4 linked regions of the Drosophila melanogaster genome follow. The protein of the gene in region 2 interacts with the protein of the main gene of each other region in a pairwise test. Each region holds a gene or a part of one and is shown on either strand. Other genes may lie near its edges. The genes, in order: CG30423, Ugalt, Srg2 and CG14042.

What was found.
Region 1: the proteins of Ugalt (region 2) and CG30423 interact in a two-hybrid assay, tested with the Drosophila melanogaster proteins (one large-scale study listed by BioGRID).
Region 3: the proteins of Ugalt (region 2) and Srg2 interact in a two-hybrid assay, tested with the Drosophila melanogaster proteins (one large-scale study listed by BioGRID).
Region 4: the proteins of Ugalt (region 2) and CG14042 interact in a two-hybrid assay, tested with the Drosophila melanogaster proteins (one large-scale study listed by BioGRID).

The regions. Positions count from the first base shown.
Region 1 is NT_033778.4:24,874,431-24,877,381, forward strand, and holds CG30423 (uncharacterized protein), read right to left. Parts: upstream 1,436-2,951; 5' UTR 1,351-1,435; coding exon 1,335-1,350; intron 1,230-1,334; coding exon 1,229-1,229; intron 1,164-1,228; coding exon 908-1,163; intron 843-907; coding exon 735-842; 3' UTR 546-734; downstream 1-545. Other genes in the region: CG16896 (uncharacterized protein), read right to left, coding at 1-210; CG44247 (uncharacterized protein), read left to right, coding at 2,774-2,867.
Region 2 is NC_004354.4:2,700,624-2,705,385, forward strand, and holds Ugalt (UDP-galactose transporter), read right to left. Parts: upstream 3,123-4,762; 5' UTR 2,898-3,122; coding exon of another isoform or gene 2,882-2,897; 5' UTR 2,834-2,881; coding exon 2,665-2,833; intron 2,153-2,664; coding exon 1,215-2,152; 3' UTR 501-1,214; downstream 1-500. Other genes in the region: Lint-O (L(3)mbt interactor in ovarian somatic cells), read left to right, coding at 1-72; eIF2Bbeta (eukaryotic translation initiation factor 2B subunit beta), read left to right, coding at 4,095-4,150, 4,214-4,300, 4,370-4,762.
Region 3 is NT_037436.4:10,095,253-10,100,139, forward strand, and holds Srg2 (Sting-regulated gene 2), read right to left. Parts: upstream 2,864-4,887; 5' UTR 2,750-2,863; coding exon 2,500-2,749; intron 1,951-2,499; coding exon 1,778-1,950; intron 1,717-1,777; coding exon 583-1,716; 3' UTR 502-582; downstream 1-501. Other genes in the region: CG42826 (uncharacterized protein), read right to left, coding at 4,105-4,887.
Region 4 is NT_033779.5:5,035,827-5,041,322, reverse strand, and holds CG14042 (uncharacterized protein), read right to left. Parts: upstream 3,615-5,496; 5' UTR 3,202-3,614; coding exon 2,566-3,201; 3' UTR 2,213-2,565; coding exon of another isoform or gene 1,583-2,212; intron 1,515-1,582; coding exon of another isoform or gene 1,263-1,514; 3' UTR 1,204-1,262; coding exon of another isoform or gene 1,147-1,203; 3' UTR 505-1,146; downstream 1-504. Other genes in the region: CG31650 (uncharacterized protein), read left to right, coding at 1-441; SP555, read right to left, coding at 1,147-1,203, 1,296-1,514, 1,583-2,212; Col4a1 (collagen type IV alpha 1), read right to left, coding at 4,586-4,846, 5,115-5,496.

The sequences.
Region 1 (2,951 bases), on a different chromosome or scaffold from region 2:
TGCCTCAGGCTGCGTGAGCGACACATCAGAATCTCCCGTGTCTGAATCCTGATCTGTGAATAGCTCCAACTCCTCCTCCGTGAAGTCCTCCTCCACGTCAGTGTTGACATCTCTATCGTCCTGCATCGAGTTCTCGATGCCATGAAGGGCCACCGAAGGAATACCCGTGATCTGTTCCTTCTTGATTTCAGATTTTATAATCCTGTCCATGTTATGGGCTCAAATGAGGTGTAACTCCATTTGTCAAAGGACGTGTACTTTCGCCAATGAAAAAAGGAACGCCACACCGCTATTCATTTATCCAGCAAGGATATTTACAAATTTGTATATTTAACAACTGAATGCTTGTTCCTAGTTCCAGTGCAGCCAAATGAACACCATCCAGGCTATTTTTTTTCGACTATAAATATTTCCAGTTCAATTAAGTGAGTGAAAACTGAGAGCTAATCCCTCCTTGATACGCCAGTGGAGAGAATTACTGCTTATGGAATAGTGGTTTAGATATCGATATCGAACCAGCAAAAAGAACCGGAACCAGACAATGTCTACTACGTCAGTTTATTTTGTTTGCGTTTATCTGGATACATTTGATTATATGAGATTTGTTGATGACTGCGGATAAGCGAACAGCATGCGTGCTTACGGATAAATGGCCGTAACCCTAGGACCCAGTGCATCGGTGATATTCCTGCGCCGGTTACTAGCCTAGTGAGCTTGTGAACTACAAATCCCCTCTAGAACATGGATCCGTATGGCTCGTCATCGCGCATGGCGTACCAGAAGATGGTGCCGTAGTTAATAATGTTACTTATTATCGTCAGGATACTCGCCGTCCAGGTGATCTGTTAAGAATGACATCGCGTGTTTAACACTCTTAAAATCCCAATAGCTCCGTGTGTCCACTTACCACCAATGCGTGGGCTAGGACGATGGGCAGGGCGAAGGCACTCAGCACCATTCCCGCGGTAAGGAAGTGAGCAAACTCCGATTTCGGATTGGTCTCATTTCCAGGAGTTGTCCTCCTGGCAATGAAGACTGGAAGAACTGACAGCACGTAGAACAGCAAAACGAAGAAGGGATAGAAAATCTTTGTCGTGGGCACGGCGCAGGCCAGGATCAGGAAGGTAACACCAATGCATGTAAGAAAGGCGCAGATGAAGAGGCTGCACAAAGAGGGGAATCATTATCAGACGGTTGGCTGCAGGAGTGGGTGTAGTTGTAGACATACGCTGTGTGATGGTTTCAAAAGAGGCGTGTAGCGGGTTCCAGTTGGTGTTGATGTAGGCGAAGAATGTAAGCCATTAGATTTGCTAGAGACTGTTGTGCATAATTACCCTTTAAGGTGGCCATTGTATTTGTTTATAATTTTTCCTTTGTCGCTCCTAAAAATGACTCAGATGTGTAGTTCCAGATGAACCAGTTCATCAGTATGACCGAAACATGACCATTCAAAATTATTTAAACGTAATATACCGATTCTAGTATATACCGTTAAAAATAATTTATTAAATTCGATTTTAAATTCTTCCAGGTCTAATTAAATGTATTTTCAATTTATATGCTAATTTTCTCCGAACCTCCATGAAATGCTTTATTAAAGGACTTACCTTTGGTTTTTAAGTTTTTAAAAGCTTTTTTATTAAATGTCTTTTAAAAGTCCGTTTATCAACGACTAATCAATGAAAAGAAAGCAAGGAAAAGATGAGTATTCCCCGATAATCTGTTACGAAATCATTTCGCGTAAGAATCCGAGATCCACTTGGGGGTATTTCTCCCAACCGATTCGGACATCAGGACCAATGCTACACATACACTATTCGGCCTACCATAACTCCCGCAGTCCTTTGCCGGTGAGAAAAGCTCTTTGGCTGCCAATTCATTGATAAAAATTAAGCACGCCCTATCCCAAGCGAGGAAGCTGGAGGAAAGGGAGGGTTCTCCCAAAGCGGGCGTGGAGTTGGCTGACGGGGCTTCGGAATTCGTGAGTGGCAGCCACCTGCTAGCTGGCCGAGAGTCTCCTTGGCCTCGTCTCGGCTCTTTATGAATGCCCGTGTTTACTCAAAGAATAAAGGAACGGACGTGCCGAGCTTTTCAGCCCCACTGTGCGCATGCGCTGCTTTTGACTACTGTGCCCCTCTGGTTGTTGTTGTTGCTGCGCGGCCTGCCCTCAAAAGCTGCCCGCAACATTTAACAGCGCGGGGGCGAACCTAACATTTGCGTCACAGCTTCTGCTTCTTCTCGGGCTTTTTGCCGCCGCCAGGCTCATTCAGTTTCTTCAGTATAACGGTATACGTCGACAGCGGAGCAACGCAGCCCAGGAGTCGAGTCCCATCCGCATATATCCCCACAGCCATATGTCCATCTGAGCTTCTTCGCCAGCAATCTGTGAGAAAAGTGCACCATTTGACATTTTAACCACCCGGTAGAGTGCAGCATAACCTTTGCTAGGACACCTAATAACCCCCAAAAATCCTCGAGAAGTGCAGTTGGCGCAGGTTACTAGCCAGAAATATTGCACGCCCACGCGAAAGTGCAAAAGTTCGGGGAGCAACCACCAGCAGCTGCCAATTGGATATATTCGCAAGTGTGTGCGAGTGTGGGTGTTGAAAATCAATAACCCTCGTCGACGTCGTCGTTCTAGCCAAAGCCCCATTAACCGGCCATATGGCAGTGGTGGCAGAGGTCGTGCAGTGCTAGATAGTTCCCATTCGAAATTGATTTCTGAGGTCTCGAGAAATCCGCAAGTGGGAGTGCATTTGGTGGCAAGTGCAAGATGGCGGCTCGCCTGGAAATCACCGTTAGCTTGGCGCTCGCTGCAACGCTACTGTGCAGCATATTGGGTCATTGCGAAATGTCCGTTTACCCAGGTAAGCCTAAAAATAGCGCACTACACACCCATTCACCTATAAGCCCGTACACCCATGTACCCACACACGCAGCCTGAGTGTTCG
Region 2 (4,762 bases):
CTGCGCGTCTTCGAACTCGTGATGTCCCTGCAGACTCAATCCAATGACGTTGGCCTCGCCTGGCTAGATTAGCGTCCCCACCCACCTCCTTAGCACCTAATGTCATGTACCACACTTAATTTAAATCAATACTCTCTTCTGTAGCCATCGCAACCGCATCACTTCGCAGCCAATAAAGCTTATATTAAGTCTTCTGGCGGATGGCTAAGATTTTGCTTTAGTTTTAAAAATGTTCCGTAATCCCACACTCGCAAATGCACATACTTTTGAATGGTATCTGCTGAATTTGCAACACGTTATGATTTTTATTAAGGTGTTTTTTTTTTTTAAGGGTAGAGGCAAAGGTTTACTCTTTTATAGATGAACTAAAGTTCTTCAGTTAAGAGGAAACCTTCCTTGGCCAATAAAGCAAAAAACTGACCCCAAAACCTTTGTTGTGCTTTTACTTATCGTGGGTTGAAAGTTGTTATTACTTTTTGATGGAGTAAAATACGCCTTTTATTCGTCTAATATTTATTCAAAGGAAATGAAACATATCGATATGGAATCACTCTTAAAACACTGTGCGAGTAATGCGACTTTAGTTCAAATACAAATATATAAGTCTGGGCTGGCTCAACCTAGGATTTCTCAAAAATAAAGTAATTGGCAATGAATAAATAATGCACATTCAAGTAAATATATATACATATATATGATCTTCTAAAAAAAAAATTCGAACAAAAGTAGTTGTGGCTGTGAATTGGCCGAACATCAAGTGTAACTTGAAAACTATAAATCGTTACAAATCTTAGTCTAAACTTGAGTGCAAGTGGATATTTACAAAAGGATAGGCACGGTATGTGTGGTGTTGTCCAGTAAATACTGCTGGCATTCCTCAGCATTCGCAAAGTAACAATTAAAATGATCAATAAAACGTGCATTCAAGCTGCATCATTTCATTAACTACACTTTAGTTTCGCTAGTGAATACCCTAAATACATTTAAATTACATAAATCATTAAGTATTCTTATCGCTGCTTTACATTACAATTATCGTCTCAACAGAAAGTGCTACGAATTGTCCAGACGTTAATATCCATCCTAATATATATACACACAAAACGTGGGGAATATCAAGGACACCGGATGCACCGGATACACCAGAGCAATTACCGAACGGCGGCCTCCGGGTTACGGACAAATACTGTTGGCAGATCCGGATTCCTCCAGAGCTAGACGCGCGGCAGCAGCTTCTCCTCATCGCCGCCAGGACCATGCATAGTTGGCTTCGGCGCCGACCTGGCCGGATCGTAGCCGTAGAGAAATATGGAGGCGATGACCAGGCCAGCTCCGAAGCTGAACTGCAGCGTGAGATTGAAGTCGAAGATGTATATGGAGGCCACGCACGAGATGATGATGGCCAGCGAGGTGGCGAAGCCCTTGAGAATGTTATCCGCGTACTTGACCACCACGGCAACGATCAATCCACCGCCGGCCTGCAGCAGGACCAGGTACCAGACAAACAGATCGTAGCCCTTGAAGAATCCCTGGTCGAAGATCCTACTGCCGTCGTTAACGAAACAGGTGAGCAGGCCGAAGGGAATGCTGAGCAGACTCAACTGCACATTCCGCATCCACACGGAGATCTCGGCACCCTTGAGGATCTTCTCAAAGTAGATGCCCGCGAATCCGGAGAGGAAGCAGGCGCCCAGTGCGGCCCACAGTCCGAGCATCCTGTTCTGCTCGGGAGCACCGCCAGAGGAGGCGGCCGTGGCTGCAGCTGCGGCACCACCGGCTGAGCCACTCGTCGGACCCTCCGTTTGGGCCAACTGCACCAGGACGATGCCCATCACCAGGAGCAGCAGCGCACCCCACTGCGTGTTCAGCAGCTTGCGGCGCAGAATGACAACCGCGAACATGGCCGTGGTGAGAATCTTCAGCTGGTACGTCACCTGGTAGGTGGCCGCATCCAAATGGGAGGCAGAGACGTACAGCAGATTGTTTTGAACGATATAGACCAGCGAGGGGACGCACACCTTCAGCGTGTCCATGGGATTCGCAATGATGGTCTTGTGCAGCGAGCGTACAAACTTCTGGGCATCCTTGCCCTCCTCGTTGAAGACCAGGAACAGGCACGTGATCAGTTTGGCGAACTCTGCCATGAGTACGGCTGCGAAAGAGGGCGCAAAATGGCAATCAATCAATCAAATATATGTACATATATACTAATAAGTCCAAGTATCGCTGTTCGGGTTTTCAAATAAGTCCGGTTAACTTACACACAGAGTCACCAAAGCAATAACCAAAGTTTAATGGCAAAATGTAAACCCATATGTAATTCAAGAATGCCAACCAAACCTCCTTGAGCTATCGCGGTAGAAGTTCCCCAACAGTTTTATCAAGCTATTAGGAGCTAAATGCGGAAGTGGCTGCTTATCAGTTTCTTTGGCAGCTTCACATCTACCCGAACGACCATTCCCCGCCTGCCACTGCTCCTACACCACCTTCACCTCCACCTCTTCGACTCGTTTGCTTTTACTGCTGATGTTGCTGCTTGCGTGGACAGACCCACGTCGAGGTTTCGTGGAAGTGGCTCTGGGCAACGAGGTGAATCTGCTAAGCGGTGAACCGGCTTGACCTGCTGAGCCCGACGACCTGTTGGACTTTTGGATAAGCACTCACCCGTGGAGCTGAGGAAGATGTCGCCTGGCCGGGTGCGGGCGTAGCGCATGCTGAGGCCCAGGATGGCATTCTGCAGGGTCAGCGTCAGCAGGCTGATGTACTTCAGCGTATTGGCGTTCACTGTGCGATGGGAATAGGAATACGTGACGGGGGCGGGCAGGAGCGCCATGTCAGTACCGCTGGAGTAACGCCACCGCACTAAAGGCCAAATACTCACTGTGTATGCTATTCATGGTGCTACGCTTCTAGCTCTATTGTCTCAACTCCAAAACCAAATAGAAACCGAAGGCAAACAAAACGCCGTAGTTGGGGGTACACAAAGACTCCGTTCCTGGCCAAGATCAGTTGTCGGCGGGCCGTTCCGTTTGGCAGTTCGTTCCCTTCAAGTTGGCCAGAAAAGCAGAAGAGCGCAAATGAAGACGACTCCACTGGACCGGGCGACACGTAAACAACAATCAGAGCCCGAAGCTTCTGCCAGCGGCGGCTTTTTATCGCCGCCTATGTGGTTGTTGTTGCTGCGCGCCAGGGACGTGGTCCTGGGCTTGCAACGGGGGTCATAAATGCGAAACCTTCTTAATTGAATGCAAACAAAATTTAAAAGTGCATTGTGCATTTCAGTAAAGTAAATACACCTTACATATGCTCCTGGGGGATGGATCCCCATTTTAAAGCAAGCTACGCCCATGGCGTGCAGCTTTTGTTGCTATTTTCGCAGCAGAGACCGACTTTTCGATAGTCACAGTGCTGGCATTGTGGCGGAACTCGCGAAAAAAGAAGTTGCTTGCAAAAAAAGCTAGATATACAATAATCGGGCATTGAGATTGCTTAAATTAATGTATATATTATGACTTTAAAATTAAAATTAAAATTTAACAAGAGAGCATGGGGATCGAAAGTAGAAAACAAGAAAACTCATGGACGAAATACATAAATACATATTGTGCATGCTTGTTCTACATGCACATGTATGTTAAATTTTTAAGCCCAGCGAAATTTATTTTTGCCGCACTAGGTTGGCTATTTACTCAGCTGCCGTTGAAAATACGTCATGAAAGCCAGTATATGCAGACAATTAAAATAAACATAAAACATCAAATTAAGCCAGTGAATGATGAACAACCTGTTGGCGGCACCTGATAATTGCGATGCATCAAATTTACAATACAACATTACAAATATATTGCCATTTGGGGGGATTAAATAAATTAATTTAATCAAATGCAATAAATGAAAACATTAATAATTTCCGTGTTGATTTTAAATCTTTTACTTTTTTGAGTTCATCACTAGAATTCGCTTTCGCCTGCCGCCTATCGATAACATTGCTCGGTGTGGCGATTTCGTAAATAGTTTTCTAACTGAATAATGGTAACAGTTGGCCACTTTAGTTGATAATTCATAATTGCAAAGACCAGAGACGCCAGGACACGATGAAGGAACAGCCGCTAAAGGAGATCACACAGCTCATCCACGCCATCAAAGTGGGGTAAGTCGTCGGTTGGCAGGCACTGCGATTCATTTGGTTGTTAAAGTGGCATATGTTTTGCAGGCTGGTGGAGGGATCCTACAACATAACCAACAAGACGCTGGACATCTTCAAGTACATCATCATGAGCAAGAGCTGGCAGAACGCCGAGTGAGTTGCAAGGGATGGCACACCAAGGATAACACATTAACTGATAAACAACTCCCCCTCATTTGACAGTGCTCTCATGCAGATTGTGCGCGACCAGTGTAAGATCCTGCAGGCAGCTCTGCCCCAGGAGACGGTTACCTCGAACATTGCCAGGCGGATCCTCAAGCTGACTCGCGAGGAGTTCGATCTGTTGCACGCCAAGGTGCAACACTTCGCGGACGACTCACAGGCCTCGCTGTCGCTTCACAAGCTAGTCACGCAGACCAGCGAGAGCAACGTCAGCGTAGATTACTCGGTGCCCCAGCATGGATTGCGGGAAGCGCTGCTCGACCACCTGCAGGAGGTGGAAACGGAGCTGGAGACCAGTTCGGAGAACATCTGCGTCCAGGCCGAGGAGCACATCCATTCGTCGGAGATCATCTTGACACTGGGACACTCGCGCAGCGTCGAGAATTTCCTCAA
Region 3 (4,887 bases), on a different chromosome or scaffold from region 2:
TATTGTAATGATATTTAATGTAATGATTGTTTGTCATATAGGAGCAAATAACAGTTCGTTGGAAATTCCCTTCAAATAGAAAGCCATATAGTCAATACCAAATCAATACGTTATTGATAAGCTGCAAATGGCGATATTAGCAGAGCGTCGTATCAAAGCATATTCGTTGGTTTTATTGCCACTAAAAGAAGCATTGAACGGATTTGGTTTGTTTTTATAACAGTTTAATCAGGTAAACATACGTTTCTAAGGTGCTTCCCAATTGTGATTCTATTTTATTACCAATGTTAATATGCTTGAAATTTATTACGCTTCCACAAAAATATGTTTTGAATGTCTCATCACCTTATCATACGGTAGTATTAAGATAATAACTATTTATATGGCTGTTGTAAAGCATTATAACTTAGGTTGAAAAATATAAAAGCGAAAAAACAAGTTGGGCGCCGAATAATTTATACTTAATAATTTTATATTATGAATGATTAAAAAACAGTGAGTATCGTTATGTGGAGGAATACAGAGGCCTTAGACCTCTTGCACTTTAATAGTAGATTTATTAATCTATAATTCCTTTGAACATTAAAAGCGGAAGTTAACGAATTTATTGAACTGCTCCTGGGCACCTTGCAAGGTCATCCTCCTTGTCTCCGGCAGTGTAAGGACTCCGAGAATCACTCCCGCCAGGTACATGGCTCCCATGATGTAGAAGTAGTTGTAGCCTTGTCCAAAATTGAAGTCACAAACATTTATGATGAGGAAGACAAATATTTCGGTGATGAAAGTTAAACCGATAAAGTGTTGCTTAACTCCCATGGGATATGCCTCCGTCAGGTAGGCCGAGTTGGATGAGAAGGCCATACCGGCAAAGAACTCGAAAATCATTATCAAGACGGTCACTTGGCTCATATACGTATATACATTGTACTGTGAACCCACGGCAAACGACAAGCCGCAGCTTACGAGCAGGCCAAAGACCGCAGGCTTCTTTCGGCCCAAGGACTCCATGCAAAAGGATGGGATTAGGGATCCCAACCAACGGCAAAAGGCTAATCCTATGTACCAGGAGCTCGCATTTCTTAAATCATTGGAGACTAAGATCGCAACGACATAAGTGATGATCACAAAGCTGGAGATGCTCATAGCATTCAGGGCGCGCAGGTATGCAAGTCGCATGAAGGTGGGCAGCGCTTTGGAAATGCTTTCACTCTTTGACATATTCTTGTTGTAGGCCAAGTAGCGTTTGTGCTCCGCCAGAAGCTCGTAAGTTTCCTCGGTTAGCACCGCAGGCTTTTGTAGCCGACGCAGTGCGTCAATGGCCGCCTGTTCTTCGTTATTGGCCAGCATTAGAACCGGCGATTCGATGGTAAAAAATGAGCCCATAATAAGGGCCAAAACGCCGTAGATTGTGCTCAGCACTCCTTTCATATTCTCGGACGTAAAATCATTGTATGTCATATACGAAGAATATGTCCAATTTGACACATAAAGGATCTGAAGAAGTATACCGGTTCCAAAGCACAATTGCTCCAAGGTGGCACTGGCCTTGCCCCTCAAATAGGGAACCGAGATCTCTCCGACCAACGCCATAAATGGGGCAAATACCAGACCATTGGCAATACCATCTAGGTAACAAGCTGCCGTGGTTCCAGCTCCATTATTGTGGGTGCAGGCAATAACCAATCCACCGACGGTCACCAACACTGAAGAAAATTGCTGTGCGTAAAAGGAATTGATTAATAAAAACTTAAAGTGCCAACAGGCTTCCTCCGCTTACCAGAATATATTTTTTGGCCACCTTGTTGGTCAGCGCCATCGTAACCAAAGCTCCAATAATGGCGCCTATGAACCAGGCAATGTAATTGTGCTTGGTGGTTTGGTAATAGATTGGTCCTTGGAAGCCAATCGCCCACGCTATGTTCATACCTCCAGAGATAAAGATGAGACCAGCTGAAAGAGTATCAAATATATAGATTTAAGTCTGTCGAAGGATTGGTGTCAAATTTTAATCTTTTCAGTTAAATATTCATAACCACGTTGCCGTTTTGGCCAAAATAAGTAGGCGTCTTTACAATCTTCCTGAGATCACGACGTTTATACGGACAGGTTCTGATCTTGAACTAGAAAGTACATATTTTTCGGGTCGAAACTTTTTTTTATAAACTACAACTACGAAACTAATTTTTATTAAATTTTTAACGAATCTATTTAGTTGTAAAAATATACCTAAGTATTTTCAATCGATTAGGGTTGTACAACATCTTCACAAATGGTTTTAATGGAAACATAAGTCACTGGTATAAGCCGTTCGATTATCGTAGTACTAAAATAATTAAATTCGAATGCTTGGCTACTAGCACTTACGTCATCGTCATCATAATCTACTTGGGCTCTAGAAAAAGATTCATACTTCCAACACTCGAGATTAGATTAACCTCGTGGTGAACAACTACTCATCAGTAGGTGACTAAGCTGATCGATCTAATGAACTGAACTCACCTGCGCCCACAGCATTGGATTGAGGTTTGTTCTTTTGGTTGCGCTGAAAGCATCCTCCTGGTGGATCCACTCTGGTGTGTGGATCCCGCGGTGGCATTGGCGGTGGTTGTGGTCCGTATGTCTCCGCCGGTGTGATGTGTTGCGGCTGCCCTGGCTGAGGGTATCCTGGCTGTGACGCTGGTTGTGGATATCCCGGCTGTCCTTGTGGTGGATAAAAGCCTATTGGCGCTGGATACTTGTCGTTTTGCATGGCCAACGGCGGTGGGGCAAACTTATCGTTCTGAATTTCCGATCGCTTTATATCTATTTCACTCTATTGCGAAGACAAACTGCTCCGGTAGAGGTCGATTTGAAACTGGCTAATACGGGGGCTGGCCAAATGATATTTATGTGCACTGCTATCGAGCCTTGCCCAACTGATAATCAAGTGCGGATTCAATCCCTTATCACTAGGGGGCGGCATCTATTTCAGTAAATGCTTCAAAACTTAATATACGCGTGCCCGATAAGGACGATTATCGCAATGTTTGTGAATAATACTTTATGATGTACATATGTGGTATATAAAACTCTCTACAGATCACAGCCCTTTTGATTCATTCGACGTAATTAAAGAACCGGAGAACGGGTCTTCCCCTGCTTTTTCTGTTGGTATGACTGATCATAGTTATTAGGCCTGATTCATACTTTTTATACTCGCCATATAGTTATTAAAAAGTGGTTTAATTGCTCAGATAAGAATTTTAAGAGAATATTTTCTATTTAAAGTTCATGGATTAATTTTTAATTAATAAAAAGATAAAACGGAAAAAATAAAGAAAAGATAAGGTATAATTTTTTTATATCCTTTATTTCCCACTTTTGTTGAGTACTTAATGCCATACATTTGTCGTATAATATCATATAAATATGTATTTGCTGATATTGATTGTTTCTGGGAATTTATTTTTGGTTTTATTTGTTGGCAATACTAAAAAGGAAGTAATTAAGAAAAAATAAGTCATTATAAGGTATATTATCAGCGTGATTTGTTTTCTTTATCATTATATCTTTTATTGAATCACCAGAAAGGCACACCTGTATTGTTTTTTCTGGCTCAAGGTCAAGGTCACTTTTTTTTTGTTTTTAGAAAATTATTGCGGCTTCGTCTGCCAGTAGTATTGAAGCATATCATGAAGATATTCCAAATTCAGAATTCAGAAATAAGCCAGAATGTTTAGCCTGAATTACCACGTTTCGACCAGTCTAGATAAGATTATTGTTTCGGGAATCACCAACCTGATTCCCAGGTGCTTGGCCTCAATTTGTTTTACTTCCTGAAACTGTGGTCATAGATTCTGTCAGATTTTTTTTGGGTCCATTCGACTCATGGATATTGTACTTCTACATATATCCTCATTTGTTTGTGATCAATACTAAACCACTCAACCAATCAACACTCAGCGGCTGTGCAAATAGTTTATGTAATTGGGCATTATCGCACCTGATTAAAAATATCGTATCAAAAATTACAAATAAACTACTACTACTTTAATGCGCTTTAACAAAATACATTCTTAATTGTTGTTACATATAAACATTTATTTTCCCCCTACCCACTTATACCTAAAAATCCTTGTTGAACCACTTTGAAAACTTGAGCTGTGCTTCTGCCAAAGTAACTAGTCTAGTTTCGGGCAGGCAGAAGATTCCGAGAAGAAAACACACCATGGAAAGTGCTCCCATGGAGTGAAAGTATGCTGTTATTTCTGCGATCGATGGTAAAAAGCTACAGAGGAGCAGTCGTGCGGCTTGTTCCATTATGTATACCACAGCCACCATATGTGGTTTCATTAGTAGAGGAAAGCCTTCAGTGAGGTAAACCGCCGATGCACATTGTCCCAGTCCCTCGAAGAATTGGAGACTGAAAAGCATCACCAGGGCGGTGATCATATGAGGAGTTCGGCCAAATAAGTTGGCATATGCGATGGCAAAGGCTCCGGTGGAAAAGATTCCGAAAAGGGTCGGTTTCTTACGGCCTGTGGTGTCCATCAAAAGCACCGCAAAAAAGCATCCGCCCCACCGGAGCAGCCCGAAAACCACAAAAGGCCATGCATACAAGCAGCTGACCAACTGATTACCGGTTTCATAGAGAGCACTGCATATGATGGAGTTCAGGGACAGGACTCCCAACAATCGAAGGGCCAAAAGCTTAAGAACCGATGGATACCCTTTCTGCAGACTCGATCCTAAACACATTTCCCTGTTGTCGGCCACATACTGTTTGTGTTCATCCAATCTCAGTAGCATTTCACTGGTCACCATATATGGCCTTTGAAGGTGTCTCAGGGCAACCAACGCCCTCTGTTCACTGGATCGCATCAACAGGTGGACAGGTGACTCCACACA
Region 4 (5,496 bases), on a different chromosome or scaffold from region 2:
GTGCTGACGCTGGAGGAATTCGTTTTATTCCAAAATCCCGAGGAGCATCCACAAATGTTGCCAATACTGCTGGAGCACACGATGCAGGACAAAGATGCGGATCACGATGGCAAGATCAACTTCCAGGAGTTTGTCGGCGACGCAGCCTCGCACCACGACAAGGAGTGGCTGATCACGGAGAAGGAGCGCTTCGACAAGGATCACGACTCCAATGGCGATGGCGTGCTGACGGGCGATGAGGTCTTATCCTGGATTGTGCCAAGCAATACGGCAATTGCCAACGACGAGGTGGACCATCTCTTTGTCTCCACCGATGAGGATCACGACGATCGCCTGTCCTACCTGGAAATACTCAACAACTACGATACCTTTGTGGGCAGTGAGGCCACCGACTACGGCGACCATTTACAAAACATTAACCATCTCTCCGACGAGCTCTAGATGCCATTCAAAGCCCCATCGTGCTATAGTGAACCTGTGCTTAGTATTGTATTTCGTTTAAATAGTTAGTAAATTTATGTTTATTTATGTAAATTCAAGTGACAATTGCAAATCAATATCGCCAAATTCTTTTGAGCACTTCTTACGAATTTAATTTTCAATACTATTTCGTTTGTTTCGTCATGTATCAATTACATTATGTGTAGTAATTTATATAAACAGAAACAAAAATCTACATAAAGCGTACTAAATAATTTTTACTAAATTACACTTTGCTTTATATGCAATTTATGACTAGACACATTTTCATTTTGTTACATTACAGTACTTAGGCCTTAATTGCTGTCTGCGAATTTACAAAATTAGTTTAGCAGCGTGTTCTTTTTGACTAGATTTCACACTCGTCTGTACCGAAAAATATGCTTAGCTCTAGATTATTTTGCGATTTTCTAGCAAGCACTTGAAGCCCCGAAAAACGTTTTTCTCATTTCTTATATCACAAATATTGCACCAAATTGGCCTATTTTCCCACATTTTCGCTACAAATGAAGACAAATCAAAAGGTCGGACGACTATTATCCACACAAATTCCGAATGCTTAAACTTAGCACGCTCTAAAGCTACTACGAGAAATGCACACGTCCCAGAGGAGCCACTGCATCGTCTGGTAGTCATTGGGCACTCCAATATGTGATGGCACTAAAATCATTCACGGGCCTCATACAAATCGTAATTCATAATGCACATCTCCAGCTGATTCACCTGGGGGCGAGGACGTACTCTATAAACTTAGCTTACGTTGACCGGACACGATCCGAGCTCTACAAATCACACAGTATATCGTAGTTGTCTACCTGACGCAGTGGCTTCTTCTCGTCGATCACCTCGCTCAGATAGTCGGCGATGGGCAGCGGCAGCTTCAGCTTCTCCAGCTGCGCAGCGCTTCGTACGCGGCGCATGATCACCGCCCGACAGCGATCCTGTAGGTTGACGAACTCCCTCCTGGTGCACTTTAGGGTCATCTCCGTTTTGGCGGCAGTAGAGCATACGATGGGGTACAGGGGCTCATCAATCTGTTGGGCAGTTAGGCGAGATTCTAGAGCCTGATCCTTGGAGGATTGAACAATTCAACCGGACTCACCTGATCCAATCCGCGGAAAGCAACGCCCAGGCACTTGCCATCCTTGTAGAAGGTGAGTGTGCCCTCAATGCCATCGAAGAGAACGCCAATTTGGGTGGGTTGATTCTCGCGGAACCGCTTCGTGTACAGCAGGGCCACGCCCTCGTGCCAGAGCACGCCCTTGTGGGACAGTCCCCAGCCGTGTTCGTTCTCGCCCAGCATGTTCCGGAAGGCGTTGGCATGTAGCCGTGCCGACTTGGTACCGATACCGAACATTATCGAGGTGCCAAAGACGCGCTGCGAGACATGAAGCTCCCAGTAATGCCGTCCGTTATTCAGGGATCTTTTGCCCTGGACACCGGCAGTGCCCTTGCTCCAGTTGGGATGGAAGTGCACGGTCCGCGAGTTGGGTCCTCTGAGCACCACTTCCTTGGAGCGGTGCCGCTTGCTCCACGTCCAGTTATCCTCAACGCCATTGGGCAGCGGACAGAAACGGGGTGGCGGCGATGTGGAAGATGATGCATCCAGTGAACCGGACGACAACCCTCCTGTTACTCCTCCTCGTCGACCGGTTGGACGACGTCTCCTCGGGGCAATTGCCGCTATGGGATGGGGGTGAGCCTGCTGTGGATCCACTTCAACATCAGACATTGTGTTGCGACTAGAAATTTTTTCGCTTCTCAATTTGTATCAATTTGACAAAGGGAACCCTTCGAACTGTTGGGAGGGGGGGGGGGGGTTAAGTTTTCAATAGGGTTGGCTTCCTGGGGTTGATGAGCTTCTCCAGGTCTCAAAAGTTGTTGAAATCGTTCAAGGAGCGGCTTCAGGGGTGGCGTCTTTAGCTCGTAGTTGTTTGTTCTTTCGTTTCTCTGGTGGTTAACTATGTTATACAATTTTTTTCAATACATCTTTATAGCATAGTTTTTATGAAGGGTTCTTCAGTTCTCCAGACGAACTCCAAGTGGATGATTCTTTATGCAAGGATGAGACCAAGAGGCGTTTATCTACAAGTAAGTGGTTAGTAGGGGCTGTTGGATATCCTCCTGCGGCAGGTCCTGCAGCTCCGCTTCCTCCTCCAGTGGAACGTCCTCAATAATATCCTGATCGAAGGACGCCTCCTCCTGCTCCTGCGATCCAACGCTGGTCAGTGAAGCGTAACCACTGCTCAGGGAACTGCTGCTCCAGCTGGCACTCAGTCGGACTGGACGATAGCTTCTCGTCGGTTGCAGTTGCTGCTGCTGCTGGCCAAGAGTCCGCTTTAGCTCCCGCTTGATTCGGCGAATCTGCCGGAAATCCTGCTCACCACCGGAACCCCTCTGCCTGTGCAGCTGCAGCTCCTGCAGATGGAAGTGATGGCGACAGTAGCCCTGCGGACTGTGAGCACAAAATCGACAGGCCTCGGAATTGAGGCCACCAACGAGCGGAAGGATTGGTTCGAGGATGCGACGCTTCTGGCTGCGCTTCTGTTGCTCCAGCTGCTGCTCCGCCAGGCGCTGTGGCGCCTTACGATCGCCCACCGTTTCGGCCACCTCCTGCAGCAGGCGCACGTTCCTCGGGAAGCATCGGTCGTGGACGTAGAGCACCAGGCGTTGGCAGTAGAGGCACAGCGATTGGAACAGCAGCAGCAGGACGATAATCATAAATATGTAGGGGTGGTGGTGTGTCCTCTTCCTTTTTTTTTTTTTTTTTTTTGGTGGGGCGGAAGACTGCTGCTTCTTGGGAGTCTCTGATTTTGGTGGTGCACTTCCCGTTGGCTTTGTGGTCTTGTTAGTTTATGCAAATTTCACGCTGCTTTCCAAACGAGAGCTCGCAATTTTCACTGTTTTTTTTTTCGAGGTACACACATTTTTTCCGTCTTGCTGCTCCTCCACACCTACAAAAAGCAGCTCCTCTTATCTGGCTGAAGTTACAACTCCCACCGACGACCGCCTCCGCTTGCGTCCAAGTCACACTGGCTTCTGGCACTTTTTTTCCAACTCACTTTTACGATTCCAACTTGAATCGCCCCACAAAGGCCTACCCTTATTTTCCACGACCTGCTTCCAACCACCAATTGGACTTTGTGCGCGTGTGTGTGTCTGCATATCATTATCATATGGCTCGGTCCACCCCACTTTATGCCCCGCAAACCGTCCACGGCGACCCCAATCGTCATCGCCACCCCCTTGACAGCTAACCAACCCCCTCCCCCACCGCAAATCCGCACAAAGAGAGGCAATGGCATGCGCACAAGTGCACGAGGTGAGTTCGCTCTCATCCTTGGCTTGGCATTGCTTTTTTAAGGGTTCTCCGCGACGGGGTTTCCACCACAATAGCCTACCCTTAGCCCTGGTCTTTTGAGGAAGATCTTATCACTCAATGTTAGGGGTAAAAAGTATGCAGTATTTGTCTTGCAGGAAGTTTATCACTGAAGGGCATACGATTTTTTATCCTCAACAATATTTGCTCTAAATAGGCTTGTATGAAATTGTGGTCGTAATTTGTATTTATAAATTTTAGTTTATTTTAAAACGATATGCGACAAGTTTTGTATAGCAGTTGAGGATTCGATTCGTTCGATATTCGTTCGATACCGCGTTTTGTTGCATTGTTTCGCATTTAATCGGTTTCAAAAATAAATGGAACATGCTGGCACATAGTTTATTTTATACTTTTGGACATACGACCGAGGCTAGTTTATTTATTTGTTTCATTTACTTAACATACGTAACGTAACTTAGAAGCAGTTTACATTTGTTTAGAACATTAATTGGCAGATAAAAAATGGCATTGTGGTCCAGGTCGGTCGGTAATTAGCACTTCGACTTGTGGATCCGTTTTTTTTTCTTTTTGGTTAGATTAAGGAATTTGTAGCAGTGTTGGTTCGTCGGTGTATGTATGTGTGTGTGTGTGTTGGTTTGTTTGTTTGTGTTTGTGTTGTGATCGTGTGGGTGTGCACACGATTCGTTGGTAATTTTAAGGCTTTACATTTAGATTAAACTTATGCTCTGTGCTGTGGGTGTGTCTGTGTTGGGATTGGAGGTCCTACGAGGAGTTCTTCATGCACACCTGGCACCTGGACACATGCGACTGCCGCTCGCCGGCCTTGATCGTCTGCTGCTGTGGCCTCTCGAACGGCTGTGAGGACTCCAGGTTGTACATCCAGAAGCTTGTCATCGTCTCATAGAAGTGGCACGTGCCCTTGGCGCCGTTGCACTCGATGAAGGGCGTTGCACGGAAGTCCTCCAAACAGGAGCCAGGCGATTGCAGCGCCTGTCCACCGCCACCGTTGCCCACGGCAGTGTGCTATTATAGGAAATGGTTGGGTTAATATTAGCATCATTATAAAAGAACTATTTAAAATCCCACAAGTAGTTAGGAATAAAGGTTGAAAATTAAAACTATTGTATCAAATCTTTCGCTACGCAGTATCCAACAGATGGCGCAAGAGTGTCGTTGGAACGTGCGCCATCTGCTGGAAAGCTAGGGAAACTTCGGAAACGCATCCCTTGTGGATTTTGAAAACTCTCATCATTCTTCTATAATCTAACGTTATAAGTGTTCCGATACTCACCATGAGGAAACTGTAGCCAATCCAGAGACCCTCCCAGCCATTCGGACAGTCGGGCACCTCTATCGTTTGACTGTGCACGGCGATCACATTAGCCGGCGCCTCACAAACGACGCAACGTGAGATGTACTGGCGGATCTCGATGTTTTCAACGGGCATCATCGGAATGGCGGCGTTGGTTGTCAGCCAGAAGGTCTTGTCATTTCTGGAGGCGTAGTTGCAGACGTTATTCTGACCACACGACAGTACGGGCAGCGTTGAGAAGCGTGGCACACAGGATCCGGGGGATCCAAGGTCCTGGTTGTGGGCATAGTCATTGCCATCGACGTACAACAGGGAGTAACCCGTCCACAGTTCCGTGTGTCCAGCCGAGCAAGCGGGCACC